4 linked regions of the Elephas maximus indicus genome follow. The protein of the gene in region 2 purifies or fractionates together with the protein of the main gene of each other region. This does not show direct contact. Links are inferred from orthologs where the notes say so. Each region holds a gene or a part of one and is shown on either strand. Other genes may lie near its edges. The genes, in order: PATJ, PALS1, AMOTL2 and LIN7C.

What was found.
Region 1: the proteins of PALS1 (region 2) and PATJ purify together in Homo sapiens (co-immunoprecipitation; 5 studies listed by BioGRID and IntAct, counting the BioPlex papers as one, with this or other methods). This does not show direct contact. The link is inferred for Elephas maximus indicus from reciprocal best matches to the Homo sapiens genes PALS1 and PATJ.
Region 3: the proteins of PALS1 (region 2) and AMOTL2 purify together in Homo sapiens (affinity purification with mass spectrometry; 3 studies listed by BioGRID and IntAct, counting the BioPlex papers as one, with this or other methods). This does not show direct contact. The link is inferred for Elephas maximus indicus from reciprocal best matches to the Homo sapiens genes PALS1 and AMOTL2.
Region 4: the proteins of PALS1 (region 2) and LIN7C purify together in Homo sapiens (affinity purification with mass spectrometry; 3 studies listed by BioGRID and IntAct, counting the BioPlex papers as one, with this or other methods). This does not show direct contact. The link is inferred for Elephas maximus indicus from reciprocal best matches to the Homo sapiens genes PALS1 and LIN7C.

What each region holds. Positions count from the first base shown.
Region 1 is NC_064821.1:106,972,156-106,979,503, reverse strand, and holds the start of PATJ (inaD-like protein), read right to left. Parts: upstream 3,006-7,348; 5' UTR 2,891-3,005; intron 2,870-2,890; exon of another isoform or gene 2,342-2,869; intron 1-2,341.
Region 2 is NC_064828.1:79,588,951-79,596,756, reverse strand, and holds the start of PALS1 (protein PALS1), read right to left. Parts: upstream 3,006-7,806; 5' UTR 2,878-3,005; intron 1-2,877. UniProt on the Homo sapiens protein: Plays a role in tight junction biogenesis and in the establishment of cell polarity in epithelial cells.
Region 3 is NC_064844.1:45,186,589-45,194,532, forward strand, and holds the start of AMOTL2 (angiomotin-like protein 2), read left to right. Parts: upstream 1-4,933; 5' UTR 4,934-5,128; intron 5,129-5,154; exon of another isoform or gene 5,155-5,771; intron 5,772-7,428; 5' UTR 7,429-7,489; coding exon 7,490-7,944. UniProt on the Homo sapiens protein: Regulates the translocation of phosphorylated SRC to peripheral cell-matrix adhesion sites. Required for proper architecture of actin filaments.
Region 4 is NC_064825.1:82,361,734-82,369,404, forward strand, and holds the start of LIN7C (protein lin-7 homolog C), read right to left. Parts: upstream 3,009-7,671; 5' UTR 2,982-3,008; coding exon 2,945-2,981; intron 1-2,944. UniProt on the Homo sapiens protein: Plays a role in establishing and maintaining the asymmetric distribution of channels and receptors at the plasma membrane of polarized cells.

The sequences.
Region 1 (7,348 bases), on a different chromosome or scaffold from region 2:
CAGCGGTCTGATCCGCAACTGGTCATGGGGATGGCACAGGACCAGGCAACGTTTCATTCCCTTGTACATGGGGTCGCCATGATTCAGGGGCCCACTTGACGGCAGCTCTTATCCAAGTAATTATCAGTGAGAACACTCACTAACTTGAGCTCCTCCTGATAAAAATAGCACAACTCCATAATTTTATCACAATTACACATCACAGTGAAGAAGAAAAAAGTGGGAGAATAATGGTTTACCGTTTACAAAACACATCTTAAACACTATTTCATTTAAACCTCCCAAAAACTCAGGAAAATGGAGAAACAGAGTCAAATGTTCCAAGTCTCAAAATTCTAGAGACTGCACAATTGTGCACACATTAAAAATAAGTGGAAGGTACATTTTCAGCATTAATCTATCCCACTGGCTAAAGAATTGGTATAACAGGCAGTAAATTTCCATATACACCAGAGTTAAAACAAGGGCTTTAAAAAAGGGCATCCAAATCTATGCAAAAGTCCTTACATAAGAAAAAACAGCAAAGGTCAAGCAATCTCAAACATTAGGGTAGAACAGTCTTTGGTTTAACAAAAAAACTTTACTACCAAAATAAGAAAAATTTTAACTGAATAAATTAGACCCCATTTTGACTTCCCCACCCTAATGCATTTTGTTAAACTTTAACAGAGCTATTGGAGTGTTAGCAAATAAATGCAGACTGTTAAGTTTAAAAATAATTATTAAATGCTTTTAAGTAAAAACACAATTGCAAGGATAACTAAATGATGAGCGCCACTGTCTCAGAATCGTAGGGTTCCAAACATGAACTCACTATGGGAAAATACACAAATTTTTCTTTTTAATTGTAAGAATACTAACTGAAAGAAAATACAGTACAATGTTATTAGTGGTTACCAAATGGAGGGTGGAAGGCACACATACTCTGTTAGCTCCGTTTTTTAAGGTTTCTCCAATTTTTTACAATGAATACATATTAGTTTTATACTTAGAAATACATGTTACAAAAACAGTAATAAGTATGTGATTTGAACTTATCTTTAAACATAAATGAGGGTTTAAAACAATTTCTATCCAACTTTAAAAGAGACTATTATTCTGATAAGGAGCCCTAGAGACACAATAATTAAGCACTTGGCTGTGAACCAAAAGGTCAGTGGTTTGAACTCACCAGTGGCTCCACAGAAAAGACCAGGCAATCTGCTAACAACAGCAATTATCATATAACGTGGGCTTGACATCAGAACAATTGCTGTATGTTGTCCAGATGATTCAGACTCATAGGGGCCCTACGTGACAGAGGAGAACTACCCCACAGGCTGAAATCTTCACGGGAGCAGATTGCCAGATCTTTTCTTCTGCAGAGCCACTGTGAGTCCAAACCACCAACTTTTTGGTTAGTGGCAAGTGCTTAATCACTGACCTGGTGGCAGGGCTCCTTGTATGACCATAAACAGGATCTAAACAAGTAAGGGCAAATCTCTTTACAGTCCAGTTTATAAATTATGTCACATTAAGCACCTCCTAACTTTCTAACAATGGACTCATACAGACCAGTGATGGTGAAGATGGCACAGGACTGGAAACATTTCCTTCTGTTATATATAAGGCGGTTGGGAGTCGGAGCCCGCTGAAAAGCAACTAACAACAGTTTTCTAACTTTCTAATTATTAAAAAATTTTTTAATATTTATAAAGGCCGTTCATGCTCCTTCTGGCGAAAAGTCATGACCTCACCTAACATTTTCTGGTGTCGCAACATGGACCAACATGAGTTTTCAGCCCCAAACCTCCCAAGCTTTCCTTCAAAAAAACATGTGTGCAAATGATTTGACATTGTCAAATTGACAGTCAAAAAGAGCTTAAACGGCATAGAATATGGTAGAATCACCATCCGTGGAACTGAGATTTCCTTTTCCTCTAGGTCTTCAGAAGGCTTCTTTATTCATTTAAGAAACACTTGTTGAGCACCTACCAATAGCCAGACCGTAAATGCAACTGAAAAACAACCTAGAGAAATAAGGTCCTGAAGGGATAACCTACTCAACGGCAGTGACAAACCAGTAAACAACCCATTCGAATTCAAAGTGATAAGAGCCATCTGGCGATAGGACACAATGCTAAACGAGCACTCCAGAGGGAGATTAATTCCGCCTGCTAGGCTTGCAGGAGGGGCGGGGCGCTCCGCAGTGTGGGATGGATCTGAAAATGCTTTCCTAGAGCTTGACTTAAAGCAAGAATCCAGGAACTTCCCCCAAAAGCTAGGGGCCAGAGCGTTTTCCTCCAAATCTTCCCCATCTACCAAGTGAGGCTACCAGAGCCCTGGCCGGCCTGACGCTGACCTGGAAACCTCGGCGACGTGACGACTGGGCGACCGTCGAGACCGGGCCAAGTCGCCCGTCAGGCGGGACAGGCCACTCTCTCCTTCTCCGGGCCCCCGAGGCAGGACACCACCTATTCACTCCTCCCACTATCACCAGTTGAGGGAAAAACTCTGCCCAGCTCTTGGGGCGAAGCGTAGGCACCTATCTGGGCGCAAAATCGGATCCGTGCCACTCCCGGAACAACAGCTGGCCGAGATTTGAAGACTGGCAGGGCCTACCGAGGCTTTGCAGCTCTGCGGCCGGAGGCCTCCGGCGAGCCCTGCAGGGAGCACTGGGGCCACTGTGGGATCACATGGCCCGACACTGAAGGGCAGACACCCCTGTCCGGCCGCCAGGCCCAGGGCTGACGCACGGCACAAGTGCCCCGCACCCCCCTGCCCCGGGCGAGCGCCCCGGCGGCGCTCTTCGCCTCCCTTCCCAGCTCCCTCGGATCGGGCGGAGGGCGCTGTCTGAACAGAGAAGGCAGGCTCCGGACGCAGGAGGGGGAGTCGGGAGCCCACACTTTACCTGGTCCTGCGGAGGCGCGGGTGGGAGCCCGAGGCGGACGGATCGGCGTTGGCCCTCCCTCACCTGGGCGGAAGTGAAAGGCCCAGGGTGACCGCGCCTCACCTGGCAGGCCCTCCCCTCGCACTGACCCTCCCCACCCGGGGCGGGGCGCCGGGGTGGCGGGGGTGGGGCGGGAGAGGGAGTTTGGGGCCGCAGGAGGCTGACCCGAGGAGGTATGGGCGTTTGGCATCTTTGCTTTCTGCAGGTCAAGTTCTGTTAGGAAAGGGAGCGTTAAAGAGACTTAGACCGAGACCCTAGAAAAGGCGGAATGTGGGGGCAGAGTGGGCAGATGAGACGACGAATGGGGGGCAGTTAGGTCAGACAGAAGTGCTACGGAATAGCTGGACTGATAGCAAGACCCAAGATGAAGGAAATTAAAGGAAGACATTGCTAAAATTACTTGGTCAAATCTGCTCAGTCCCCTGTTGTTCTTTTGCCCCTTTCTTTTCTCTTTCTCACATCCCTCCGTTGTGTTTTCCATACTCCCTGATGCAACATAAAATAGTCCAAGGAGAGTAAACAGAAGACAAAAGGCGTGGTTCGGTGATTCTTTTCTTCTCATCTAGTTGGAATCTATTGGAGTGCCTACGTATGCCAAAAGAAAAAAAAGCCAAACCAGTTGCCATCGAGTGGATTTCACTCATAGCGACCCTATAGGACAGAGTATAACCGCCTCACAGGGTTTACCAATGAGCGCCTGGTGGATTCGAACTGCCAACCTTTAGATTAAGGAATGTAGCTCTGAAACACTAGGCAACCAAGGTTTCCCAAGTGCTTACTTATACATTATCTCATTTAGTATGTGAAGAAATGTGCATCCAATAGCTTAATTGATTTGTCCAAGGTTTGGGACCCACACTAAGTCCAGTGTTGATTTCGCTATACATTTTAACATTTATATTCTTGATACTGTAGTTTGACTTTGAGAAAGATCTTTGTAAAACCCACAATGGCATTATTTCACTCTTGAATTCACTTTAGAATGTTGACAACAGACATTTGACTTTGTTTAAATACAGTTCACACATTAACAATAAAGACAACCAATCAAGTTACCTTTTTCATGAAATAAATGCAGTATTTATTAAGCACTGTGAAAACCTGGTGGTGTAGTGGTTAGGAGCTATGGCTACTAACCAAAAGGTTGGCAGTTTGAATCCACCAGGTGCTCCTTGGAAACCCTATGGAGCAGTTCTACTCTGTCCTGTAGGCTCACTATAAGTCAGAATGGACTCGATGGCCACAGATTTGGTTTTAGGTTTGGTGATAGACTCGGAGTCCTGGTGGCGCAGTGTTTAAGAGCTCAGCTGCTAACCAAAAGGTCAGCAATTGAATCCTTTTGTTGCTCCTTGGAAACTCTGTGGGACAGGTCTACTCTGTCGTATTGGGTTGATATGAGTCGGAATTGACTCTGGCAAGAGGTTTGGTTTGTGACAGATTCTGAGGGGACGTATAAAATGGGGTCGTTTCTCAAGGAAAAGGAGGCCCAATACAAAACAACCGTAACACAAGGACATTTGTAAGATCATGCACTTGTATTTTATAGTTATCGTTGTTTGCTTGTTTTAAAGGAAATACAACTCATTAGGCCTGCAAGAAGATCCACAATGTAAACATGGACCCAACTTTTTATGAACTAACAAACTATTAAAAGAAATAACCTTACACAAAACTTAAATTACCAAATAGAATTAAGCTAGAACCTTCAGAAAGAAAGATCTATTGTGTTTGTTGAAATGATCACTTAGGACTTAAACAGGTCTTAAAGAGTGTTTGCAGTTTGCTTAGGCAAAGTTGAGGAAATGTTTCCCAAGTTGGGGTGGGGTAGGGGAAGCAGCAAAACACCAACTTGAAAACAATGGATCTCTTCCTACTCTAACATTAATGAAAGTTATTAACATATTCCCCCTTACTAAGAAATCTTAAGTGACTTTGAAATGATCATGAAACAAATTCAAACTCCTTAGTATTTAAGTCCATCCTAACTCTTCTCTTTCTTTCTGACTCTTCAACCTTATCTCCCACTTCACCTCTCCAGGATCTTACTTTGACCAAAGAGGTCTGCTCGGCATCTGTGGAACGCACCACACCTAACTCACTCTGTTTCCCTGCCCTGGAATATCCTGTAGTCCCTATGTCCCTCCACAGCCAGGCTTAGTCTCACTTGTAAGAAACTACTTCCCTGACTATCCTAGCAAAAAGTCATCTCTATCACATTTAATTTAATTTTCTCTACATTTTTGTGTTCCTTAATTTAATGTGAGCTTTCCTTTAGCCCTTACATCAATTTTTTTTTAATTATTTAATTTATACATCTTTTAAGGAGCTTATTCTGTGCTGGGCAATATCTACCTCTGAGAATTCTGAAGAGTATCTTATCCAAAGAATGATGAAGATGTACTTAAGTTTTAAGAGCACACTCTCTGAAGTCAGAAGATCTGAGCTTGAATCCTGACTCCACCATTTCCTAAAATATGTGACATTGGCAAGTTACTTAACCCTTCAAATTCTCATCATTAGAATTGTGATAACAGTGCTCACTTCAGGTTAAATAAAGAAATACATGCATTGCATATACCTGGCATATAAAAAGCGCTAAATAAATGAAGCAGCACATAGATGGGAATAAGCATGGCAGACACTGGGACAGTGAGGAGTCAGCCAAGAAGAGTAGCAAATGATGGGGGACCAGGACAGATGATGGAGGACCTAAAAATACTACAGGGAACTTTAGATTACGGTATTAAAAGTTTATTCTTCATCCCTAAGAAAATAGGAAACCACTTTGCCAGGGGCAGGAGGGAGGGATTTGAAAGAAAGAATCATTGTTTAGGATACAGTGTGTTTCTGTTTATTAAAGCCCTGTTGGCGCAGTGGTAAAGCTCTTGGCTGCTAACCAAAAGGTAAGCAGTTTGAACCCACTAGCTGCTCTGCAGGAAAAAGATGTGGCAGTCCACTTTCATAAATACTTACACCCTTGAAAGCCCTGTAGGGCAGTTCTACTCTGTCCTATAGGGCCACTATAAGTCGGAATGGACTCAGGCTTCAGGAGTTTCTGTTTAGTGATAAAAAAAAATTGGTAACAGTTATTGGTATCCTAGAGTAAAACTCTCAGACTCTGTTAAAGTCTGTCTTACGCATCTAGTGCTGCTATAACAGAAATACCACAAGTGGACAGCTTTAACAAAGAGAAGTTTATTCTCCCACAGTCCAGTAGACTAGAAGTCTGAATTCAGGGCAGCAGCTCCAGGGGAAGGCTTTCTCTCTCTGTCGGTTCTGGAGGAAAGTCCTTGTCATTAGTCTTCCCTTGGTCTGGGAGCAACTCAGTACAGGAACCTCAGGTCCAAAGGACACACTCTGCTTGTGGCACTGCTTTCTTTGAGGTATGAGGGTCCATGTCTCTCTGCTCACTTCTCTCTTTTATATCTCAAAAGAGATTGACTTAAGAGACTATCTAATCTTGTAGATCTTTTCTGTATAACTGCCATTCTTTCATCTTATTACAACATAGTGATAGGACTTACAACACATAGGGAAATCACATCAGATGACAAAATGGTAGATAACTATGCAATACTGGGAATCATGACCTAGCTAAGTTGACAGATATTTTGGGAGGACACAATTCAATCCATGATGAAGCCAAACAAACAGATTTATTGAAAGCAGAAGGAGCATTTGAATGGGGAGACACTAGCCCATACAAAGTGAGAACCAACAAATCCAAGTGGGTGGCTGCCTCACAGGGATAGTTATAGGGCAGGATCAGGAACCTCCCAGCAAAATTCTGATTGGTTGACCCTCCCTGGGCTTGCCTGGACTTTCCTGGGCTTGCCCAGGCTGCATAGGCATAGCCACATTCTGGTAAAGATTGTTTTCTCTGACCCTTCCTGGGCTTGCCTGGACTTGTCTAAGCATAGCCTGGGCTGGACTGGACTTGTTTAAGCATAGCCACATTGTCTGTTCAGCAAACTGTTGAGATTAGTACAAGGGTCATAGCTTTAAAGCAGAAGCAGGAGTGCAAAACAAAATGCAGTCAGGCCCACTCCTAGGCCAGTCACCCTAGATATGCTAGGCACCTCTGTTCTGGAGCTCTTATCCATTCCCTCCTTTTGATCAAGAGTATTCAAGAAATCCTTTGATCAAATTATCAACCACCATTTGAGGGAGAGCGCTTTCTTCTGCATAGACTTAGATTTCTATTTCCTAATAGAACAGCATTATTAGAAGATGTTGGAAGAAAGAGAACTCTATTTTATTGCTGTCTTTCAGAGATACTTACAGATGGCTGCTTAGTATAGTGAGCCTTTAAGACCCCAGATGCTATTTATAAATACCCAGGCACAGTGTAAAATCTTCACCATGCCATAGCTGGAGCCTCTATTTCTACAGTGTTAACCTTGAAATGACATATAGTGT
Region 2 (7,806 bases):
GCTTACCCAAGAGAAATGAAAATTTATGTTCACACAAAAACCTGCTGATAAAGATTTACAACAGCTTTATTCATAATCACAAAAAACTAAAAATAGCTCAAATGTCCTTAAATTGGTGAATGGATGAACAAACTGTGGTACATCCATACAGTGGAATGCTATTAAAAAAAAAAAAAAACCCAAACCCATTGCCGTCAATTCTGACTCATAGCAATACTATATTCACCAGTAAAACAGAAAAAACTGCTGTTACACTCAACAATGTGGATGAATCTCAAATGTATAATGCTAAGTGAAAGAAACCAGATTTAAAAGGTTATATACTGTATGATTCCATTTACATGATATTCTAGAAAAGATACAACTACAGGGAAGACAACAGATCATTGGTTACCAGGGGCTAGCAGGGAAGAGGAAGGTTGACTACAAAAGGGCAGCACGAGAGAATTTTGGGTGGTGGGACTCTTCTGTGTCTTGATCGTGATGGTTGCACAGCTTTATACATTTGTCAAGATAACTGTACACCAGAAGGAGTTTATTTTATTTCATATAAATTAAGGACAATGTTAAAATCCTTTAAAAGGAGGGAAACAAAATACACTTCTCACCCACAAGTGGCAGATACTTTTAAAATCTAATAATGCCTAATGTGGGCAAGGATGAGAAAGCACTGAGACTCAAATTGTTGGCAGGTATGTAAACTGGTACAATTTTAGAAGGTACTTTGTATATAACTAGTAAAGCTGAAAATGCATATCAACCTATGACTCAGTATTTCTTCTTACAGGTAGGTATACATCTAGGGAAATCTTCGTACATGTGCTAAAGGTGACATGCACAAGAATATTCATTAAACATGGTTTGAAAAATTGAAAACAACTCTTCAGTAGGGGAATGAACAAACTGTAATTAGTGGTTATTAAAAAAAAGAAGAAAAATTTGAATAAGGGAAAGCAACCTCACCGATTTCATGTAATGATTTTGAGAAAGGTAACTTAGTGGTTTGTTCACTTATAGTAATAGAATATAGCGAAAAGAGCACTGGACTTGGAATCTGGAGACAAGTAGTTTAGCATTTACTTCCAACTATGCCACTAACTGGGCTGGGTATGCCACTAACTTAAGAGTCAGACTATGGGCTACTCAATTGCTACAAGCCTCACTTTTCCCTGACAAATAAGATAGGTAACAAAGTCACTAAGATTATTTCCAACTCAATGATCCTATGATTCAATAAGTGTACACTGTAATCAAAAATTATATTCCAGAGCACTTATCCATATTGAGGAACAATTTTTCCCAAAACCCCCCAAATCAGAAATCAGAGAAATAGGGCAACTTAGTATACCAATACATAAATGGACCAAATTTCTTGGAATATGTGTGATGAGGTTTTAAATAAAGACCATAATTCACGAAGAGCATATAAATAAACATTACTAGACCACATCAGCTAAACCGACTATACTGACTTGAGTCACCCTCAGGTGGACTGGTACATCTCTCCCTTTTTAATGTTCTGTAACAAGCTGAATTATGAATGCCTTTCCCTTTACTTGTCAACTTTAAGTTTGGCTAGCCGAAAGTCACTCAAGTACAGTGTTTAAGATTTATGCAATTTTTTTACAAAGATAAAATGAGGAATTGCTTTTCATACTTTTGCCTGTTTTATTTCTGAAGCTCTTACATTATTACTAATAGCTTCAGTCTAATACAATAGCCTTTTGAAATTTATGACATGCTATGTCCACAGGGATCTAGTTCATAATCCATGAAGTATGAATAACTTTTATTACCACCAACTTATATTTCAAAGACACCAATAACCAGTATTTCATTTGTGCCTACTGCAGAATTTAATAGGTAATTAACTTCTGGTATAATCCAAAGGCATAATTAGAATACAATTATTAATATCACTATGAGTCGGAGTCGACTGGACGGCAACTTTTTAATAATCATTAATATCAGAAATATTAACAGCTTGTCAGTCAACTTAAAATTTCAAAATTCTTATTCACAAGTTTTCCAAATGGAAATTCTTAACAATTCTAAACGAATATGGAGACAAAACACACACAACTACATACTCCTTCTAAAAACCTTCTGGTGATCAGATTTTAATTTTAGCGTAAACCGCCAAGAAAAATCTTTCGACCGAAACCTAAATTCCGTACTCATTACTGTACGTCGCATCAACTGAACAGGTGAGTTGTTATTAGGAAGTTACATAATTTGCTGCAAAAACCGAAACGCCTTTCATTGAAACGTAGCTTACAATCTCCAGCTTCAACGTTCACTTTGCAATCTCCAAGTATCAGAAACCATTAACCATTAGGCTCTTTAAAAAAAAGGGGTCACAAGGAAGCAAGAAGCTCTTTATTTGTTGAAAGAACGCAATGAGCAGCGGAATACCGGGAGCTGAGTCAGGCAGGGGAACGCATTCGGCCTTTTAAAGTGTTCCCCCCACCCCCACTCCCTGCCGACATCCCCTACCCGGCCAGAAGGGAGTCGCGAGCTCAGAGGCTGGAACGCAAAGGGCAGGCGATACCCGGCGCGTTCCTGCAAGCCGGGCCTGGCCGACAGGAGCCCCCGCCAAGGTGCGTCCCTTCGCCAGCCAGGACAGAAGGAACGGGTACTGCGCAGGCAGCGTTCCTCCGAGGGACAAAGGTTAGCCTCACGCCCTCGGCGGCCGCGGCTCCCGCTGCCTGGGGCAGTCCACAGAGCAGCCCCGGGTCCCTCCCCGGCGGAGCGCGCGGCGCGCGGGGGGCACAGGGTCCCGGCCGCCGCGGCTCCCGACCGCCCCTCCCCCGCCGCGCTCCCGGGAACCTGTTGATTAAGATCGCCACACCGAGCTGCGCCCCGTCTGCCTCTTACCTTCGCGCCACGGCCGCCGTAGATCCTCCCGCCCCAGCCGCTCCTAAGCACTGCAGAAGCGACGGCCCTCCGGCAGCCCTTGAAATATCGCATAAAGAATCCAGAAACTCCCGATTCCCCACCTCGCAATCCTTAGTCCCCGCCCCCGCCCCGCCGCCAGCCTCCTCCGTCGCCGCCGTCGCCACAGCCGCCAGCGGCTCCACCTCGAGACCGCGCGAGACCGGCCCCCGCGGCTTCCGCGAGACCGCGCACGCGCCCCCGGCACTCTGGCGAAGCGGACGCGCCTATCCCAGTGCCTCCCCAGTGCGCCCCGCCCACTGCTCCGCAGAGAGGCTGGCGCGGTTCGTCCAATCCTGAGACGGCGGGGAGAAAGTGCCTGCTCATTGGCCCTCTCTGCAGCTCCCGAGCGGCCGGTCGCGCGCACTCGCGCGCCTCTCAATATAAAATGCTAGCTGCTTCAGGCCCGCAGGCATCAGGCAGTTGCTTTGATTTAAGCCTGCAGTTTAGGCTGCATGGGGACGCAAGGGTACCTGAGCCAACCAAGCTCATGTTCTACAGCCCTTGGCGCTTCTTTCCTTCGATGATCGTCACCTACTGAAGAAAATCTGATTTCCCTCTGAGGTGACTGCTTGTTCTGTCAAGCACATGACATAATCTAACATTTGTTTCAGAAATAAGCCATGGCCTGATTAAAAATCTGGTGTGTGTAGTGTCCTACAGAAACATCCTCTACTACCGCAGAAGACTCCAAAAAGCTATCAGCTGGACACAGTTTTCTGAAAACCTGAAAGAAAGAATTCCTAGGACCAAAATCTTGCTTTTGGAATGGATTTAGAGTTACCTAGGCCAACGCCTGAATACTTCTGTTTTGGAAGAAGTACAGCCAGAATGCTTCTTAGAAGCAAGGATGGCAAGACTTTGTCTCATATACTTTGGACATGTTATCAGGAGGGACCAGTCCCTGGAGAAGGACATCATGCTTGGTAGAGTAGAGGGTCAGTGACAAAGAGGAAGACCGGCAACGAGATCAACTGACATAGTGGGTGCAACAATGGGCTCCAACAAAGCAGTGGTTGAGAGAATGATACAGGACCAGGCAGTGTTTTGTTCTGTTGTACTTGAGGTTGCTATGAGTCGGAACCAACTTGACAGCACCTAACAACAACAAGCCAACCCATGTGCAACACAAGGCTGGTCCACTCAGGACCTGTTTATGTTCCCTTCTGAATAGGGCAGAATTCTGGGAGTGAGTTCCATAGGGCAAGAAATTCAAAGCAGATTGAAATGCATTCTAACCATTTTATAGAAGCCTGATCAAAAGAAGGAAAGTACAAAACAGAAATTCAAATTTTCGTGGACTCCGGACTTCCTGGAGCCATGAATGTTGAATGAACCCCTGAAACTATTGCCTAATGTAATCTTTGAGCCTTGGATCAAAGATACACCCTGGGGCCTTCTTGGAACCAAACAATAGTTTAGCTTATCTAATGAAAGATATCTGCCTTGAGCATTGTGCTCTTTTAAGAACTACCTATGGAAACAAATTGACAACAGCAACCTGAAAGATTGGATGGGAAGCTTAGGGGGCAGTAAGTTTGTGTTAATGGAGGAGCAATTCTCCAGGGGAGTGGTTGCACAGGTCAAGGAGTGTGATCAGTGTCACCGGATGGTGCGCGTGGAGGCTGTTGAATTGGTGTATGTTTTGCTGTGTATATTCTCAACAACAAAATAATTTTTTTTTTAATGCATTCTAACTAGAAATAACAGCAAATTTACCTCAACACTTATAATAAATCCATTGTATGGTCTCTGCTTTGACAGTAAGCAAGAACTCTGTGTTCCAAGGCGCCGTGCCCCACTCTTGAACGGTTCTAATATTTACTAATTAACCTTTCTGTTAGGCTGAAATCTGCCTTTCTGTCACTTCTGCCTATTGATGCTAGTTTCTCCCAGAGGCATGCTTATTGTATTTAGCCACATCTTCCTCAAAGCACTTCTGTTATGTCAATTATCATGTCCTTCCTCTTTTCCTCTCATTTTCCCATCTTCAGTCGCAATATCCCCAGGTCTGTACTTGCAAGTTCTTTCACCTTCTTCTAACTCTCCTCTGGACATCTATGGGTGAACTGTGGTGCCCTCGACTAAGCAAATCACTTTTCCAGGTGGCCAAGATCTCTTTGGATCCCTACCCTTCCTAGAGTTTTTTTTTTTTTTTTTTTTATCATCCTCGTATCTGATCAGCATTCCATCCAAGTCTTTATCCCAGTCATTTATAAGTGTTTAATAAGACAGGGATGAGGATGGGACTCTGCAGGACGTCACTAGAGCTCTTAATCCTCCTGCCATCAAATGTTTATCGGTAGACTCTGAGTACAGACAATCAGCTGCAAACCTACCTGAGCTGTCTTCCTGCCATTTTCCTCCACGGAGATACCATGAGAATTTGTGAAATGTACAACCGAAATCCAGATAAGCAGTCTCCAGGATTCCCTAGAAACTGTTACTCATCCCCAAAAAGGAAAAATGGTTAGCATGGTATGACTTATTTCCTTTCTAAGTTCTTAAATGCATAAAATAAATAATAATTCAGGGAGCTTCCTCTAACTGAGCATTTCTCAACCTCGGCAGTATGGGCCTTTGGAGCTGGATAATTCTTTGTGGTGGGGGGCTGTCCTGTGCATGGTAGAATGTTGAGCAGCATTGCAGACCTCTCTCCATTAGAGGCCAGTAGGCCTGCTCCACTGCCAGTTGTGACAATAAAAAATGTCTCCAGACTTTGCCAAAGGTTCCCTGGTGGGGCAAAATCACTTCCAGTTAAGAACCACTGATATCTAGCTATTCAATGAATTGACCTCTAAAGAGAGTATTTCAAACCCATACCTTCTAATTACCTGGCCTCAGGCAGTACAGGTAGTCCCCGTCATAACAATGATATTCGAGTTACAAAGAATCTCACTTATTTTTTTTTAATGATTTGTTTAATATTTTATGTACACACGAATATATTAAAATATGTCTGTAAGTTTATATGTAATGTTTCCAACCCTCAAAGAGAAATAAAGATTGGATTTATAAAGATACTGACAATAAAAGGCAATAATAATGAAAAAATTTTTTAAATGAGGCATTCGACTTAGAACTAACATGACAGAGTCACTGGAACTGAAACCCATTTTAAGTCAGGGACTACCTGTATGCAAAACATCCCCGTTCAAATGAACCCTTCAGGTACCGAGCCCTTGCTCCCCTAGCTGCTCAGATCCCTCTGTCACAGAACCTCATCCTGGAAAAATTATGATTACTATCAGTTTGAGGTAGCAGCCACTGCTCTCAAAATATGTGGGAATTCCTTTGTGAAGTGTTATACGGATGTTTATTATTATTATTATCTCCTAAAAGTATTTTCATTTTAATAGAGGGCAGTAAACCCTATGGCAAATAAGGAATCTACTCTCTCATAAATTGAGACATTCTCAATTTCCAAATGACACAAATTACTGGTCTTGTTGAAGGGAAAAAAAAAAAGAAGGGTAACTAAAAGAGTAGAAAGTATAGAAACTGGAGGCAAGGTGATTGAATGTGAGCTTTAGCTTTGCTGAGAAGTAGTTCTGTAATTTGGATGCATGACAAGCTTCTTGGGCCTAAATTTTCTCATCTATAATGTAAGGAAGTTAACTACTAAGTAGTTTTTTCTAGATTCTGGTAGCCTTTGCATATGGTGTCTAACGTGAATACTATATCCATTGCTGTTAAGTTGATTCCAACTCATATTGACCCCATAGGACAGAGCGGAACTGCCCCCATGGGGTTTACAAAGCTGTAATCTTTATGGAAGGAGCCCTGGTGGTGCAGTGGTTAAGCACTGGGCTGCTAACCAAAAGATTGGCAGTTTGGACCCACCAGTTCCTCTGAGGAGGAAAGCATTCCATAAAGATTAAACCCTCGAAAACCCTATGGGGAAGTTCTACTCTGTCCTGTAGGGTCGCTATGAGTCGGAATCAACTCGACAGCAACTGACTTGGTTTTTTAATCTTTATGGAAGCAAACTGCCACATCTTCCTCCCATGGAGTGGCTGGTAGGTTCGAACCGTTGGGTAGCAGCCAAGTGTTTAACCATTGTGCCATCAGGGCTCCTCATAGATACTATAGGGGTTAAGAAAATATAATATTCATCTTAAAATAGAATGAAATGGGTAATCTGTGGTTTAAAACTGAGTCAGAACAGCTGTTCATCCTTGTCACGAGGCAGTTCACTCACTGAGTCATCCTGGCAAATTTGTAACCAAGTATTAAGGAGGAGGAGTGAAAGCCAAGCTGTAAAGTCAAGTGCACAAGGAGAGAAACCACTGTAAATACTTTTTGTCCTTCCTTATCTTGGCATTTCTTTAACCCATCATCTGCCAATATCCCCTATTACACGTTTATGTAATCAAATGTTGTGCTACTTTATTTCATTAAAGTTTTTAGAAAAACATACTAATATTACATCTGACCTATTTGCAACAGGTCTAAAATCTCACTTTCTAAGACTCTACCATTCACTATTATATATGAAATTTTTAACTAAAGTTATTATGTTCCTTATAGTCCTTTAACTAATGTTATTATAAGGTTTTATCACCTCTATGTACTAGTGAAGTCTAGGTTTTCATAACTAAATACTAGGTTAATTACTTATAATTTTCTGAACCAGATGATCACAGATAACCTAAATCAAAAGAGTAGATTCACTAATTCAAATATAAGAGAAGTTATGAAACAACAACAAATTAATAGTTACCTTTTTTAAAATTATTAAATAAATATCTAAAAGAAAAAAAACAAAAAGCAAACTGACAAACCAGGAACATTTCTAATTTAATTGGGTTTTATAATTATTATTATGTTTGTTCAGAACTTCTTGACCTTTCATAAATCTGGCAAAAAATA
Region 3 (7,944 bases), on a different chromosome or scaffold from region 2:
ATGAGCTATGTAAGTGTGTATTAAAGGCAGCATTTCTCTAAAGACCATATGAGAATCCAAGAGAGGCCAAAATGAGAAGAAAGCTCAGTTAACACAACTGGAGCTATTAGTCCATCCTCAGAGGGCTCTGGGAGATCCCATTCCCTGGATGGAACCCTCTCCCAAACATCTTCCCTCCCACCAGGGATACAAAGCCCACCTTGGGAGCTCTGGGTGGAGCTGATCCCTCCAGCTGGAGATGAGGGTCACTAGTGGGTGCTTTTCTATCACACTGATCCTGCCCCAGCAGCCACAGAAATCTGTCCTGGGTGTTTTCTACAAGGAGCCCTGCAAACCCAGACTCCCATCTTCCTCCCCCTGCCCCCCACCCCCATCAGTATTCCTGCCATCTCTCACCAAGAGCCAGAGGGTCTTTCCAGGCAGCAACAGCATGTCCACCAGTCCAGGACCACTCAGTACAGGTAGCTTTGCAGAGAAGACAGGCGTCTGGGGTTAAGTTGATACTTCAAAATGATCTTCCCACTTTCACTGCCCCAAGGATGCCAGTCCCTAGGTCCCCACCCCCACCCCCACCCCCTTCTGATGGCTACCCAGCCAAGAATAAACTGAAGGCTGTACTCCTCCAAAGTATCCATTTATTCCCCCATGTCCATTAGACCCATCTTCTGTGTAGGACTGGGAACTGTGGGGGTTTTGGGCAATGGGTGACCCCAGAGATTGGAGTGGAAATGGGGCGATGGTCAGAGCTTCCTCCCCAGTGTCAGTCCTCACCACTTGCAGGAGTCATCCCAGCCCTGGGCCTACAGGAGCAGCAGAAGCAAAGGACCCCAGAGGAAGGCCAGGGGCCAAGGAGCAGGCGCATTTTGGAAAGTCAGGGTTCCTTCTTTTTCTAGGGCCCTGTTACCACAACTATGATGAGGCCCAATTTCACAAATGTTCCAACTCAGGAGGAATTAACCCCTGAAGACACAGACCGTGTGAGGCAGTCTGCCCCTGATGCAGAGTCCAGGCCTGATGCCTGGGAGTGGAAGGGGGTGGTGGTAGAAGGAAAAGGCTTGGAAAGAAACCTAAAGGCAGAGGGTTCAGAAAACGGGTGTGGGGGGTGGTGGACTAGGGCTTGCCGGAAGACAAAACAGGAGACCCCCAGTTCGTTTTCCTTCTGCTTTTGGAGGTAGTTGCACTGAAACTTCCAATAGCCAGGCTCTTCCTATGAATTTGTTCCCTGCCTCAGATTCGGGTGGGCTTCCTGTTTCCCATAACCTGCCAAAGGAAGCGTCCCGCAGAGGCTAGAGAGGGAATTTCACAATTGGCCGAGTCCTTCTTTGATGTTGCCACCTGGGCCTAAGCCCCTTCTCCACCAACTGACCATTTGGGAATTGGACCATTCTCTTCCTAGTTCCATGGGAGGGCCTGCTAGAGTCCAGCTAAGCACTGGCTTTCATATTCCCATTGGGTGCAGCCGGACGCAGCTGCAGGGCCAGACTGAGGCCATATCACAGGCCCAGGCCCAGGCCCAGGACGAGGCGGGACGCGGGTGTGGGCTCCTGCTTCCCTGGCTAGGCCCCGTACACACCTACAATCCAGCCACACCCCTGCAAGCTGTACTCAAGCCTGGCTCACTCTGAGAACTGGGTCACATCTGCATCTTTCCTGGGCGTGACTCCAGACCCAGTCAGCCACACTGTCATCTGGGAAGAATCTTTACCTGTTGCGGGGGGTGTTAGAAAGAGGGGGACAAGGTGTATCTGAGAGAGACAGTGCTTGGAGGGAAGTTCTGGCTCACCAGGTATTAGACACGGGGGCAGTGGCAAGCCTCTCTTCCTCTGCTATGAGCAAAGATTTCTATACTAGTGCCCACCTGTGCATGCCTGCCTCCAGCACATCTGAGCTGTGGTCACCTTCTCACCAAACGGCCCTGCAGAGCCAGGTGTGACTGCCAGCTCAGGAAAGCTTAATCCACTGGGGTCTCTGCCCTGCCTGGGGAGGCCCTGCTCTCCATCCCTCTTGCAGAGAGGAGGAGAAAGAAGAAGAAAAAAATTGAGTGTAAATTTCCCATGCAGGTTTCAGAAACCCTACTTCCCCTCTGGAAACCTTGGTGATGCAGTGGTTAAGTCCTTCAGCTGCTAACCAAATGAGCTGGAATTGACTTGATGGCAACTGGTTTGGTTTTTTTTTTGGTTTATTCCCTGTCTGTTGCTCTGGTCGCCAGGCCCTCCCCATGCCTCCTGGGCCCAGGGACACAGAGGTGAGCAGTTACAGGGGCCCGCTCATTGCCCGCAGTAGGCTTGGCCACTCTAAGACATACCTCCTTGACTCTAGCTGCCTTGAGCTGGCACCTTTCTGCAACCATCTCAAGAATGTTTGTGAGGTATTGTGTCAGGTGACTCTACAAATGCCCCTGAAACATTGTATCATGTGGCTTTTCCCCAAATTTTCCAACCTCAGGATTCACATGCTCACACACACTGACTCTCACATCTCCACCAAGTGTTTCCAAGAACACTGTCCACCCTCAGGGTAAGGCAGCCCGGGACCTCTTCTCTCTTCCTTTTCATTTTTGTATCTAGTTGGGACGGTGGCACATTGGCCAGAGCTTCTCTCTGTGAGGAAGTTCTCATGTGGTCCAATGTCCCTCAGCTTGACACGTATGGCTCGTGTTCTCATTCATCTCAAATCCAATCCCTATTCGAAATGCAATATTTGGTTTCCAACTAAACCACGTGCACTCACACACACACACACTTTTTGCGAGAGCTTTATTTTAAAAAAATCAATAATATCTCTAGCTAATAAATAACTTTCCAAGGTTGCAAAGTTTTCTTGTCTCCGGCCCCCTCCAGAGGCTCTGGGACTCGCAAACTCCATGCTCGGGGGAGGGAAGGTGGTGGGGAGAGCAGCCAAGGATGAAAGTCAGTGCTGACCATCCTGGTGGACAGAGGACAGTCCCCCAGGTGGATGTGTTGAGTTGCCCCAGGTGGGCAGGTCTGTGGGGACAGGAGGGGAAGGAGGAGGTGGGGAGGTGTGTCGGAAAAGGTTTGCAAAGAAGGTAAGGGATTACCATAGTCACAGATGGGTCAGCATATGGCAGGCTAGGAGGAGGAAGAGCCCTGGGGTAGACGAAGGGATTCCCCATGGAGGAACTCAGACATAGGGGGGCCCTGGTTGGCAGCGGTGAGGGATGAGGTGAAGAAGAGGCAAAACAGGGAGGAGGCAAGTGGAGAAAGGGAGTGCTCCCAGAGCCTGACCTGTCCATCTAGGGAGCCCTGACTCTGGGGGTCACGGAAGAGTTTTGAGAAGGAGAAACTGGGTAGGCCTGGTTACCTGGCTTCATCGTTTACTCTGTTACCGTGAGTAAGCTACTTAACCGTTCTGAGGCTTGGTTTCCACATTTATAACACTGGGATGATAACAGAACTCCCTCAGAGGGTGTCCGTGAGATCTGAACGGAGCTGCTGCGGGAAAAGCAGGTGGTGGCTCACTGCGGCGGGTGACTCAGTTAGTTACAAAAAACCCTGCGCGGTCGAGTCAATTCCGACTCAGCGACCCTATAGGACAGAGTAGAACTGCCCCATAGGGTTTCCAAGGAGTGGCTGCTAGATCCGAATTGCCAGCCTTTTGGTTAGCAGCCATGCACTTAGGCGCTACCAGGGCCCCAATTCAGTCGGTTCCAAAAAAACTCATTGTAGTCGCTTCAATTTCGACTCATAGCGACCCAATAGAACAGAGCAGGCCTGCCCCATAGGGTTTCCAAGGAGCAGCTGGTGGATTCCAACTGCCGACCTTTTGGGTTGCAATTCAGCTGATTGCCAAGAACAAACAAACAAACCCCAAACCCACTGCCTTGGAGTTGATTCTGACTCACAGCGACGGGGTAGAACTGCCCCACAGAGTTTTCAAGGAGCGACTGGTGGATTCGAACTGCCGACATTTTGGTTACCTGCCAAGCTCTTAACCACCAGGCCAGCAGAGCTCCACTCAGTTGGTTACCAAAACAAACAAACAAAATCCATTGTTTCCGACTTGATTCCGACTCATACTGACCCTACAGGACCAAGTAGAACGGCCCCATAGGGTTTCCAAGGAGCTGCTGGTGGATTCGAACTGCCGGTCTTTTGGTTACCAACCAAACACTTAACCACTGCACCACCAGGGCCCCATTCAGTTCGTTAAAATCAAAACCCATTGCCGTCGATTCCAACTCATAGCGACCCTATAGGACAGAGAAGTACAGCCTCATAGTTTTCAAGGAGCGCATGGTGGAGTTGAACTGCTGACCTTTTGGTTAGCAGCCATAGCACCTAACTACTATGCCACCAGGGTTTCCAATTCAGTTGGTTAGGTGGGTCAAATTAACCACAAGATTTTTCAACCCAGACTGACATTTCCTGTGGATCCAAAAAATACGGGTCCTAAAAGAGCTGTTGAAGGTGTCTGTAAACAATAAAAGTGCAATTCAAAGGTTGCCGCTGGGCGTGAAAGCAGTGGGGGTTAGGGACCAGGCTCAGTCGCAGAAAGCAAAGTCATTTCTTCGCCTGGGGTATGGTCCAGGCCAGGCCGATCTAGGCCTCCCTGCTGCTTCACACACACAAGCTGCGCTGTCGTCCCCTCCTGCAGCAATGCCGGGAGGCGGGAGTCCCTCCGTATTGTTCTGCCAAAGGGTTTAGGGGTGAAGGAATGAGAAGAAGGGGAGAACGGGGGCGGTACGGGGTCCAGAACTGGGAGAAAAATCGGCCCCAGCAGCTTCGACGGAAAAGGGCAGCCACGAGGCCCCTGGGCTGCCCAGGCGGGGAGCTCAGCTGCCGCCGGACGCCCAGCCCGCAGGACCGCCTCCCCGGAGGAAGGCGGGGGCCGAGAGGAGCGAACGGGAGGAGGCGAAGGGCGGAGGAGGGCGGCGGGCTGCGAGGTTATTTGTGGTTCTCTTTGATCCCGAGGGGGAACCTGAAACGCTCACATTCCTGGCATAGCAGCCGCCTCCGGCGCGGGCCGACCCTGGGGCTGCGCGTTGAGGCCAGAGCAGCCAGAGCGTCGGCGCCACTGCTGGGTGCACACCTCCGCCGCCGAGCTGAGTCGAGCAGAGCCAGGCCGGGCCGTCGGTTCCGACTGCGCGGGGCACCCACGGGCCTCAAGGGTAAGGAAGGCCGCTTGGCGCTCCGGGGAGCGCGCAAGGCCAGCAAAGACGCGACCCAGCCGAAGGCCGAGCCTTGGCGCAACCCGGCGTTTTCCGGGAGCCGGAGCCCCGCCGGTTGAGCGTCCTCAAGGCGCAGTGCGCACTTTCGAGGCGGCGGCAAAGCCGGGAAAGGGCCTTTCCGCCCAGGTGACAACGCGCCTTGCGCCCGGGTATCTCGAATTGCGCCGGTCCCCTGCGCTTGGGGAGGGTGCAGCCTCTAGGGAGATCAGGGTCGGTGTTTTGGGTCTCCGTTCGGGCATCGTGGCGCGGAACAGGGCTGGAGTCGCCGCTTCGAGTTCAGGTTGCAGGGCCTTGGGGGTTGGTTTGGTTAGGTAGGGGGGTTACAGGTGTCTTTGCCCCCAGCTAGCCCAAGAATTCGTCTTTGTCTTCCTTGGAAAATCCTCTCTGGAGCCACTAACCGGCTCTCACGTAGAAAGAATGCAGCCTGCAGTCCAGCCCGGTGACGTCAGCGCTAGAGTATTCGGAAAACAAAGAGGGCTTGGAAGGGGGAGAGGCGAACCCCGGACGCTTAAAGACCTCTTCAGGCCTTGAGCTGCGCTCGCCCGCTTCCTCCTGGCGCACCGGTGGCCACCGAGTGCTTATGGTCAGTTGGGAATAGGGGTAGGGCGAGCGTGAGCCCAGGCTAAGGCCAGAGATGCGTTCCTGCTTAGAAAAGGGGTGGCTGGGTGGGTGAGTTTAGAGAGCAGGGAGCGCTAGCGCAGCAGAGGCTGGGGTTGGGGGCGCAGATTTTAGTAAGGGCTCAGCCCTTTGGTATGGGAAAGGATGTGCAGCCGGCGGCCTGACAGGCGTAAACTCAAGGATGAGAAGCCCCAGGAGTGTGCTCTGCTCTCTAGCATAGTGTTGGGGGCCTGGAATCCGTCGGGAGGAGGATTCTGCCGCCCCCCCACCCCCACCCCCCGCCTTCCTCAGCCGGAGACAGCCCAGACAGTGATTAACTTAGGAAATGCCCTAAAGATGATGAAACTCCAGGGCAAATTGGCCTGTTTGCTCTTTTCGTCGCTGAAAACCCCGGGGTCTTGCATCTCTACTCGGGGGGCGGGGGGGGACACGGAATGGGTACCAGAAAGGTTGAGGACGGGGTGCCCTCCTGCCTCACCCCCCCGCCCGGGGCTGGTGGAGTCCTGGGGAGGAGAGAGTGGACTGGGAATGGCTGTTCTGTCCACATGCCAAGACCAAACTGAGGAAGGGCCCTGGGGCTAGCTTTGTGCCAGAGGAGGGCTGCATTCCTCCTGCTCCCCGCCCCCCCAAGACCTGTGGAGGTGTGGGTTTTGTTTGGTTTTGCCTGAATTCTGGTTTGAAGGTTTGTGTTAGAGGAGGCTGTGGAAAGGAGGCCGGGCAGGTGGGCAGCCTTCCAGGGCATGAGCCAGTGAGATGCCCAGTCTTAGAAGGGAACAACACCTTCTTTGGATACTCGTCTCCCTGCACTTTGGGCTCACAACCCCCGGGGTCCCTGCAACCCAAGGCCTCCCAATTTCCCCCTTCGCTCCTCCAGTTGGCTCAAGTAGGTGTTACTGATGTTACAAAAGATGCTGAGTGCCCATCTCCTGTATGCCTAGAGGGCCCGCAGGGGCTTTTCCAAATAGCAAGGTTGGGGGAAAGCGGGGAGAGGTGATCATAGGGCTGAAGGCATCATGCCCCTCCTTTCATTTTCCTGGAGTACCCATGCAGTTACTGTCGGCACACAGAGACTATGTGGCTAACCCACTCACCTTGATGGGTAGGATCTTTTTGCCTCAACTCACACATTGTCCTACTGCACCCTCCCGTCTTTCATCCCTTATCCACCACTTTAGATGCATTTTCTTCTTCCTGTGTACTAGCAGAGTGACTGCCAAGGTCATCCCATGACAGGGAGCCCTGAGTTCATTCTGTCAACAGCCCTTGATTAAACAGAGCCCAGGGTCTGCCCTCCAGGGAGCTCGCTGGTTCAGGGGAAAGCAAGGGAGGTGGGTAGTAGGCTCAGGGGGTAAAGGGTAGTGGGTTGGCTGTGCCGAAGCCAGGGCTCAGGCATGCTTCCTTTGGGGTAGATCTGGCTAGATCTGAGCTGGTCCCCATGGGCCTGCCCTTGAATCACTCATCTGCAGGGGCTGTGATTGCTGATTGATGACCTTCTGGGCTGCTGTTGTCTTCCTCTAGTTGTAGTAAGTCTTTGTGAATATTATTATGGTTGGACCAGGCTGTAATGGAAAGTCCTCCCCTTGCCCACGTGCTCCCACTCATTGTTCTCTCTCTCCTCTCAGGTGCTCTGGGCCCAGGTGCTGCTGGCCATTCTCCAGGCAGGTGTGTGCAAGCCAAGGAAGAATGAGGACGCTAGAAGACTCCTCGGGGACAGTCCTGCACCGCCTCATCCAGGAGCAGCTGCGCTATGGCAACCTGACCGAGACACGCACACTGCTGGCCATCCAGCAGCAGGCCCTGCGGGGTGGGGCTGGAGGCACAGGGAGCCCCCAAGCCTCCCTGGAGATCCTGGCACCTGAGGACAGTCAGGTGCTGCAGCAGGCCACGCGGCAAGAGCCCCAGGGCCAGGAGCACCAGGGTAGCGAGGCCCATCTGGCAGAGAATACCCTGTACCGGCTGTGCCCACAGCCCAGCAAGGGCGAGGAGCTGCCCACCTATGAGGAAGCCAAAGCCCACTCACAGTACTATGCGGCCCAACAGATGGGACCCCGGCCACACATTGGGGACCGGGAGCCACGCAGGGCCACAGGAGGCGGTCAGCAGCAGGACGAGGCCCTTCGGGAGCTGAGGCACGGGCA
Region 4 (7,671 bases), on a different chromosome or scaffold from region 2:
GGCAAAGTGGTTAAAGGGATCAACTGCAAACTGAAAGGGAGGTAGTTCAAACCTACCAGGTGCTCCATGGGAGAAAGATGTGGCAGTCTGCTTCCATAAAGATGACAGCTTGGGAACCCTATGGGTCAGTTCTACTCTGTCCTACAGGGTCACTATGAGTTGGAATCAACTCCACGGCAATGGTTTTCTTATGTCTCAGCTGCCAACACCGTAAAATGGAAATAATGCTATCTTCCTCATAAATTACTTGACAACAGAACCAAACAATATATGGAACAGGGCCTGGCATATCACAAGCATAAGTATTATACTGGCATCAATTAATCATAAGAAATAATAAGGAGTTATATATATTTATAAAAATATATTTAGCATGTTAGGCAATTCTCAATGGGAAGTGTGAGGATAAGTGTTCAAATACGTTTTCTGAATTATGAAATTTTATAAGTTTCAGAGTCATGTTATAATAGTGTTAATGATTATCTCTACTTTATTTATTTTTTCTTGTTTTTTTTACTCCAGGGGGCTATAATACCTATTATTCTACTATTACCGTATCTCTTTTTGACTTAAAAAAAGGAAGTTCTGAATGTCATATTATACTGAAGGACTAGAAAAATTTTTTTATGGAATTATACAGCCTTTATGTTTACAGATGGAAAACTAGGAATAAACGTAAAGAAGAAAGAAGTAGATTTTTCAATTTCAGGTAATAAAAACGTTGCTGTTGTTAGGTGCTGTCAAGTTGGCTCTGACTCTTGGCAATCTTATATATACAGAACAAAAGGTTGCCCAGTCCTGTGCCATCTTCACGATTGTTGGTAAATAAAAGCTGAAAACGACGTTAATCAATCGCAATGGAAACAAACAAATCTCCACTATGATTTCCCACCACCAGGATGGCTGATGAACAGGACTGATGGTTCATCAATTATTTTGGTTTATAAAGTTAAGATACATAAGCCATATAAAAATTTCCAATTAACAAAAAATTTGCAAAAGTAAAATATTCTTTACACTGTACCTAATACGTGATTAAATGCGTTCCAATGAATCACGTTTGGATGATTCAGAAGGCACTCAGGATCTTGATCAGGCATATCAATGTGACACTGTAAAATGCATTGAACTGTTTGACAATAAAGTCTGTTAAGAATTCTAAAGAATCAGAATTGATGTTAATCTGACTGTCTTATGCTGCTAAATGGTTACCACCAGTAATGCATACTATTAATTAGAAACTGAAGAAGGGGGACCTGGGGTGGGGGGAAGGCCATAACTACCAAAACTAAATAAATGTCAAATGTGAAGTTCCCTATTATTGTGTGCTGCATGCAGTTAAAAATACAAAAGACCGCCAACATGTCAGAATCCTACAACTAGCTTTCAAAGAAAAACACCTACTCCTGTTAACACCAAACAAATTTGTTCCCAGCTACAAAGCACAGTGCCACTGTACTCAGGAGGAAGACGTCACAGTCTTAGGCCTAAGTTAGCAAATCTTCCCAGAGTAGCTACTCCTCTGTCAAAAATAATGCTTTAATAGCCTGGTGGGCTGCAGAGAAACAATTTCACTTAAAAAGAGGCTTCCCAACTGAAAACCATAAGGAACAAACTAACAATGTTAAGCATGCATTTGTTTGTGTGACGGTATGATGAAAAAGGTTTCTGTAAGTACAATAATTCTGAAAATGTATTCCCTTCTTAGAGAAGTTACTTAGCATGCAGACTGTAACTGCAAGATGTTAATATCTGCAAGATAATTTCAATCTACATTGTCATTAACCTGGTGCTATCCAGCCAATTTAGACTCCTGGACCTACACCATGTGTAAGAGAGTAATACTGCTCCTAATGGGTTTTCCTGGCTGTAATCTTTACAGAAGCAGATCACCACGTCTTTACTCTGCATTGCCAGTGGGTGGGTTCCAGCCTACAGCCTTCAGGTTAGTCCAATGCAACCCGTGTGGGCCACCCAGGGACCTACTTTGTTTACTACTGGTACTCAAATTGTTCATTCTGTACTCCTTAAGTCTCATCGATGACTTCTGACACTGCTATGTCAAACGCGTACTTTGAAATTGTTTGAAATAAAGGATTTGGGGAGGAAAGAGTGGAATGCTGAAAATCTGTAGCAGGACACTGGTAGGAGCACAGTCAAGGATTTTCAACAAGCTTTCTCTAACTACTCAGCAGAACAGGTTTTATTCTTCTTGGCATCTTTCCTAAAAGGCAAGTAACCAACTGCAGCTAGCAACTGTAGGGTTTGTACAAAACGAACGAGATTGCAATCCCAATTACTTACCATCCACCACTATTCCGCCTAGGTAACCAAGTTACGCAACTCCCTTTCCAAGACTAAGTCAGTAAAACACCTACACCACCCCTGGGAGGGGCACTAAAGGCAGGAAATACCCCGCCCCAAATACAAGTGAAGTGGTGAAAGTAACGACAGAATTTTTCCGTGTAAATAAATGGGGTTCTGTGGGAATGTACTTTGCGTCTGAAAAGCGTGCGATATGTAAGTGAAGGCGAAGACACTGGGTTTATGCACGAATATATAGAGGCACTGCGTGAGGGCTACATAACGAAAGCTCTAAGTGGTGTGTGATGTTTCCTTCTCCGGTTTACGTGTCTCTGAATGCCACGTCTGCTATGTGCAACCAGACAGCGAGTGTGTGTTTGCGAACGCAGGAATCATGTTGTGTGTGACTGTGCTGTGCTTCGGGACAGTTCGTGAGAGCAAAGGCGGGGTCTGGGTATCAATCAAGAGACCGCAAGCGCCCTCCCCGGGGTCGGGCGCAGCGACTTCGGTGGTCGCCGGAGCCAGCGCAAGAGACGCCTAGTTCCGGGTGTCGGAGCCTGGGTCTCCCCTCCTCCCCTCCGGCGACCCGGCACACTGCCACCCCCTCCGCCCATCCCGATCCGGCCTTGGCAGCACTCACCCCTCTCCAGCCGCACAGGTTCCCCTAGCGCCGCCATCTTCTCCCTTTGCCTGCAGACCCACAGGAAATGACGACAGAGGGGCATCTGTGTTGGGCGGGGCTTCGCCCGGAGGACGAGGGCCGGCTAGTATCGCGAGAGCGGGAGGTGCGGGTGAGGGTGCCGGTCCGCTGTGCAGTGGGGTTACGCCTTGGCCTCTCTGTCAGGAGTCTGGAAATTCTGGAGTGCCTTGACCTCCCGAGATTTACCAAAGCTTCTTTCCAGACACTTAGTCCTTGCCTCGGGGTTCAAGCTTTATCCTACTCTATTGGAATTCTTGGCCCCGCGTAAAAGAGTCAGGAAGCCTGGACTTCTAGTCCTTGCGTGACAATTAGCGGCTTCGTGACCCTGTACAGTTCACCCTCGCATTCCCCGAATCCCTTCTGTGGAACTGGGGTATTATCCCCAAGCTCCGTTCCATTCTTAATCTCTGGGAGTACGTGGCCATTAGGCGTGTAAATGAGATGTTGAAAATAAACTGCCTACGCATAGCACTTTCTCCTTTTGTGGCAGTTCTTTAATTTTAAAAATTCAACGGTTGAATCTTCCCTACAAATCTGTTTGAGAGTAAGGGTGGAAATGTGCGTTTAGTAAAAACAGCGTGAAACAATCTGGGTGAGGCAGAGAGCAAGGCATTTCAGTACACCCTAAAGTAATAATTTTAAAAAGCTAATCCAAAATCTCATATAAATGAAATTTTATAAAGCGAATAATATTCTCGATGCGTTACGGATTCCTAGGACCACTGAGAAGTTCCTGAATCAAGAAAAAAATAGGTTTCTAATTTCAGTTTAGATTCCACTAACATTTACCCAAGCCCTAGGCTGTGTTGACCTTGAGTTAGATGCTTTCATGTACAAGTTTTAAACATTTCATGACAGGATTACTTTAACATCTCCTGGTTGCCCTGGGTCTAACCCTCTCCATTCAGCTATTGTATTTTCTTCTCCTAATCCATCATGAATGTCACCACTACTTTTCTTTTTTTTACTTTGAACAGTGGTTTCATCACCACAGGTGTCTGTTCAGAAACTTTCAATGTTTTTTTCCCTATTTCCTATTGCTGAAACCTAGCATATTCTGACCCTAACTCATCCAACTCACCTTTTTTCTCGTTACCCCCCCAAGAGCAGCCACCACTCCATTTGAGGTAGTATATTCAAAACCATGTTTATTCCTGCTTCCAGTTTTCACTCCTGTTGTTCTTGCCTGGATTTCCCTTCTTTATCTCACCTGATTCTCTGAACTGTGTCCACCCTTAAGTTGAACCCTTTCTTCAGCTCCGTGCCAAATAAATACCACTTCTACTAAGCCTTCCCTTTTTCCATACTGTTCTTCTTTGAAGGAGCCCTGGTGATGCAGTGGGTAAAGCCGTCGACTGCTGACAGAAGGGTTGGTTAGAAACCACCAGTGGCTCTGAGGGAGACGTATGTGGCAGTGTGCTTCTGTGTAAGGATTCACAGCCTTGAAAACCTTGTGGAGTTGCTCTGTGTTGGAATTGGCTCTACCACAATGGGTTTTTTTTTTCCCCCCTCCCTTCTTTGGTCTTTCATGGCCCTTAAAAACCCTGAGGTGGTATTCATGTGCTTATCTCTTATTCAGTGTTGTCATTTGTTCTATAACAAATGTATTCAGTAAGTGTTTATTAAATGTTTAATATCTACCAGGTGCCTTGCTAGGCACTAGGAAGACAAATGCAGACATTGCTCTTATACTGTCTGGGTCCATTTCCTAACAGTTGTATGAAATTTCAGCATTCCTGGGATAAACTCAATTTGTCATGATGTATTATCATTTTATATACTGCTGGGCTTGATTTCCTAAATTTTAAAGGAATTTTTACATCTACATTCATGAGGAATATCAATCTGATTCTTTCTTAGCATGTCTTTGTCCGGTTTTCGTATCAGGATAAGGGTAGACTCATAGAATGAGTTGGCAGGTATTTCTTCCTCTTCAGTTTCTTAGAGGTGGTTGTGTAGAATTAATATTATTTATGTCCTAAAGGGTTTGACAGAACTCACCAACATAGTCATCTGAGCCTAGATTTGCATATATATATATATATGTGTGTGCCCATGGGAAGGTTTTTAACCACAAATCCAATTTTTAAAATACATAGGGATATTTAAAGAGCATATTCTTGAATGAGCTTTGGTAGTAGGTATCTTTCAAGAAATGTGTCCATTTTATCTAAGCTTTATTGAATTTATTGACAAAGTTGTTAATAATATTCTTATTATTTTTATTTAGTCTTCCCTCTCTTTTTTCTAAACCATTCTAGATAGAGTATATCAATTTTATTGATTTTCTCTATGAGCCAGAACTGGTTTTCTCTATTTTTTTTTTTATTGTTGTTCTTATATTTATTGTTTCCTTCATTCTGCTTAGAGTTTAATTTGCTCTTCTTTTTTCTGACTTCTTAATGTGCAAGCTGAGTTCTTTGATTTGAGCTTTTCTCCTTTTCTAATACAGGGATTTAAAACTATAAATGTCCCTCTAAATTTTGCTTTATCTGCATCTCACAAATTTTCATTCTCCTCAAAATACATTCTGGTTTTCTTCTTCCACCCAAGAGTTATTTAGAAGTGTTCATAGTTCCCAAATATATGCGGGTATTTTAAAGATATCTTTTTGTTATTTCTGATTTTTTTCCATTGTGATTAGAGAAAATATTGTATACGATTTGAGTTATTTTAAATATATTGAGACTTGTTGCCTTGCCCAGAATTTGTTCTATTTTGGTAAAGGTTCTGTGTGTACTTAAAAGGAACTAAAGTCTGCTGTTGGGTAGAATGGTCTATAAACGTCAATTAGGTCAAGGCCGACGGTGCTGTTTAAATATTTTATATCCTTACTGTGTTCTATCTACTTTTTCTATCAAATATTGAGAGAGAAGTGTTGAAATCTCTGACTCAAATTGTGGATTTGCCTATTTCTTTTTGCAGTTTTGTTATTTCTTGCTTCATGCATGTTGAAGCTCTGATATTAGTGCATACATATTTATTTCCTCTTATTAAGTTGACTTCTTTATCATATGCTTTTATTTCTTTATCCATGGTAATATTGTTTGCTCTGAAATCTGCTATGAAATAGAGCCACTTGAGCTTTCGATTAGTATTACTGTTGTATGTCATTTTTCATTCTCTTACTTTTAATGTATTTTTGTGTTTATATATTGTGTTTTTATTTAAAGTATTTATATGTAAATTATATGCATATAATTGTGTCATGCTTTTTATCAAATCTCACCATCTCTGCCTTATAATTGGCAGAGATTTTAAATGCAAAATCACATTTATATTTAATGTGATTATTGATAAATTTCAGTTTAAAATCTAGCATCTCACTATTTGTTTTCTATTTGTCCTATCTGTTGTTTGCTCATCACCAACAGATGTGCACTGCAAGAAATGTTACAGGAAGTTCTTCAGGCAAAAGGAAAATAATTCCAAAAGGAAATGCTGATCTATAGAAAGGAACAAAACTATGAAATAGATTGTTTAAAACAAAAATTATAACAACTTATTGAGGTTTACCAAAGGAGAAGGGGAAGTAGAAATATACTGTTGTAAGATTCTTATACACGAAATGGTATATTACTTTGAATGTAGACTTGAATAAGTTAAAGCAACTATGAGAGAGAGATAATAAGCCAAAAAAGAGAAAATGGAATCTTAAAAAATAATCAATCCAAAAAAAGATAGAAAAGGTTGATATAATTATTTTTTTAAATACATGCTGTTGTTGTGTGTCACTGAGTTGATTCCGACTCATTGCAAGCCTATGGGGCAGAGTAGAACTCCCCATAGGGTTTCCTAGACTGACATCTTTATGGCCGCATATTGCCAGGTCTTTTCTCCCATGGAGCAGCTGGTGGGTTCTAACAGCTGACCTTTTGGTTAACAGCCAAGCACTTAATCATTGCACCACCAGGGCTCCTTAAAAATACATAATCTATGTTATATCTTATCATGGATAGAAAAAAACTTCATATCCTCTTTTTATAATGGCCCTAGTTCAAAAATAAAAACTAAGGTAGGGCAATTGTGGCTTTTAATCTGGGGTGCCAAAATTTAAAATGATTTTTTAAAATTCCGCAAATTTTAATTGCTTCTCTGACCCACTCTGGCAACAGTAGGGAGCTCTTCTTTGGGTCCCAGCCAGGAATCCAGAGAGAAAGCAGGAGCTAGAGACCCAAGGTCAGGGGCAAGGAGAAGCAGTGTGGCCACCAGCCAGGCCAGAGAGGACCCGTTTGTGAGCTTAGGATACCTCCTCCCCTGGTGAAGTATAGACGGTGTGGCACCATGCATGGTTAACTAAGGGCTCTCCTTTGTAGGGTCTGGGGGCAGAACATCTTCCCTCAGAATGGATAAGGGCATGGCAGGCAATGTATTTGGCCTGTCTAGTATATTACGTATACATTTGGGAAACAACATGTTTCAAATTTGATGAGTAGCAGTTTGATATTACGGGAAAAACACTGGATTAGGTGTCAGGAGCTTTGGTTTCTAATCATGGCTAAGCCACCAAGAGATAGTGTGACCTTGAGAATATCACTTTCACTATATGCTCCAGATCTGTATCCTCATCTGTTGACTAAGATCTGTCTGCATATGAAAATTGTCTATAACCAAACCCATTGTCGTCGAGTAGATTCTGACTCATAGCGACCCTGTAGGACACAGTA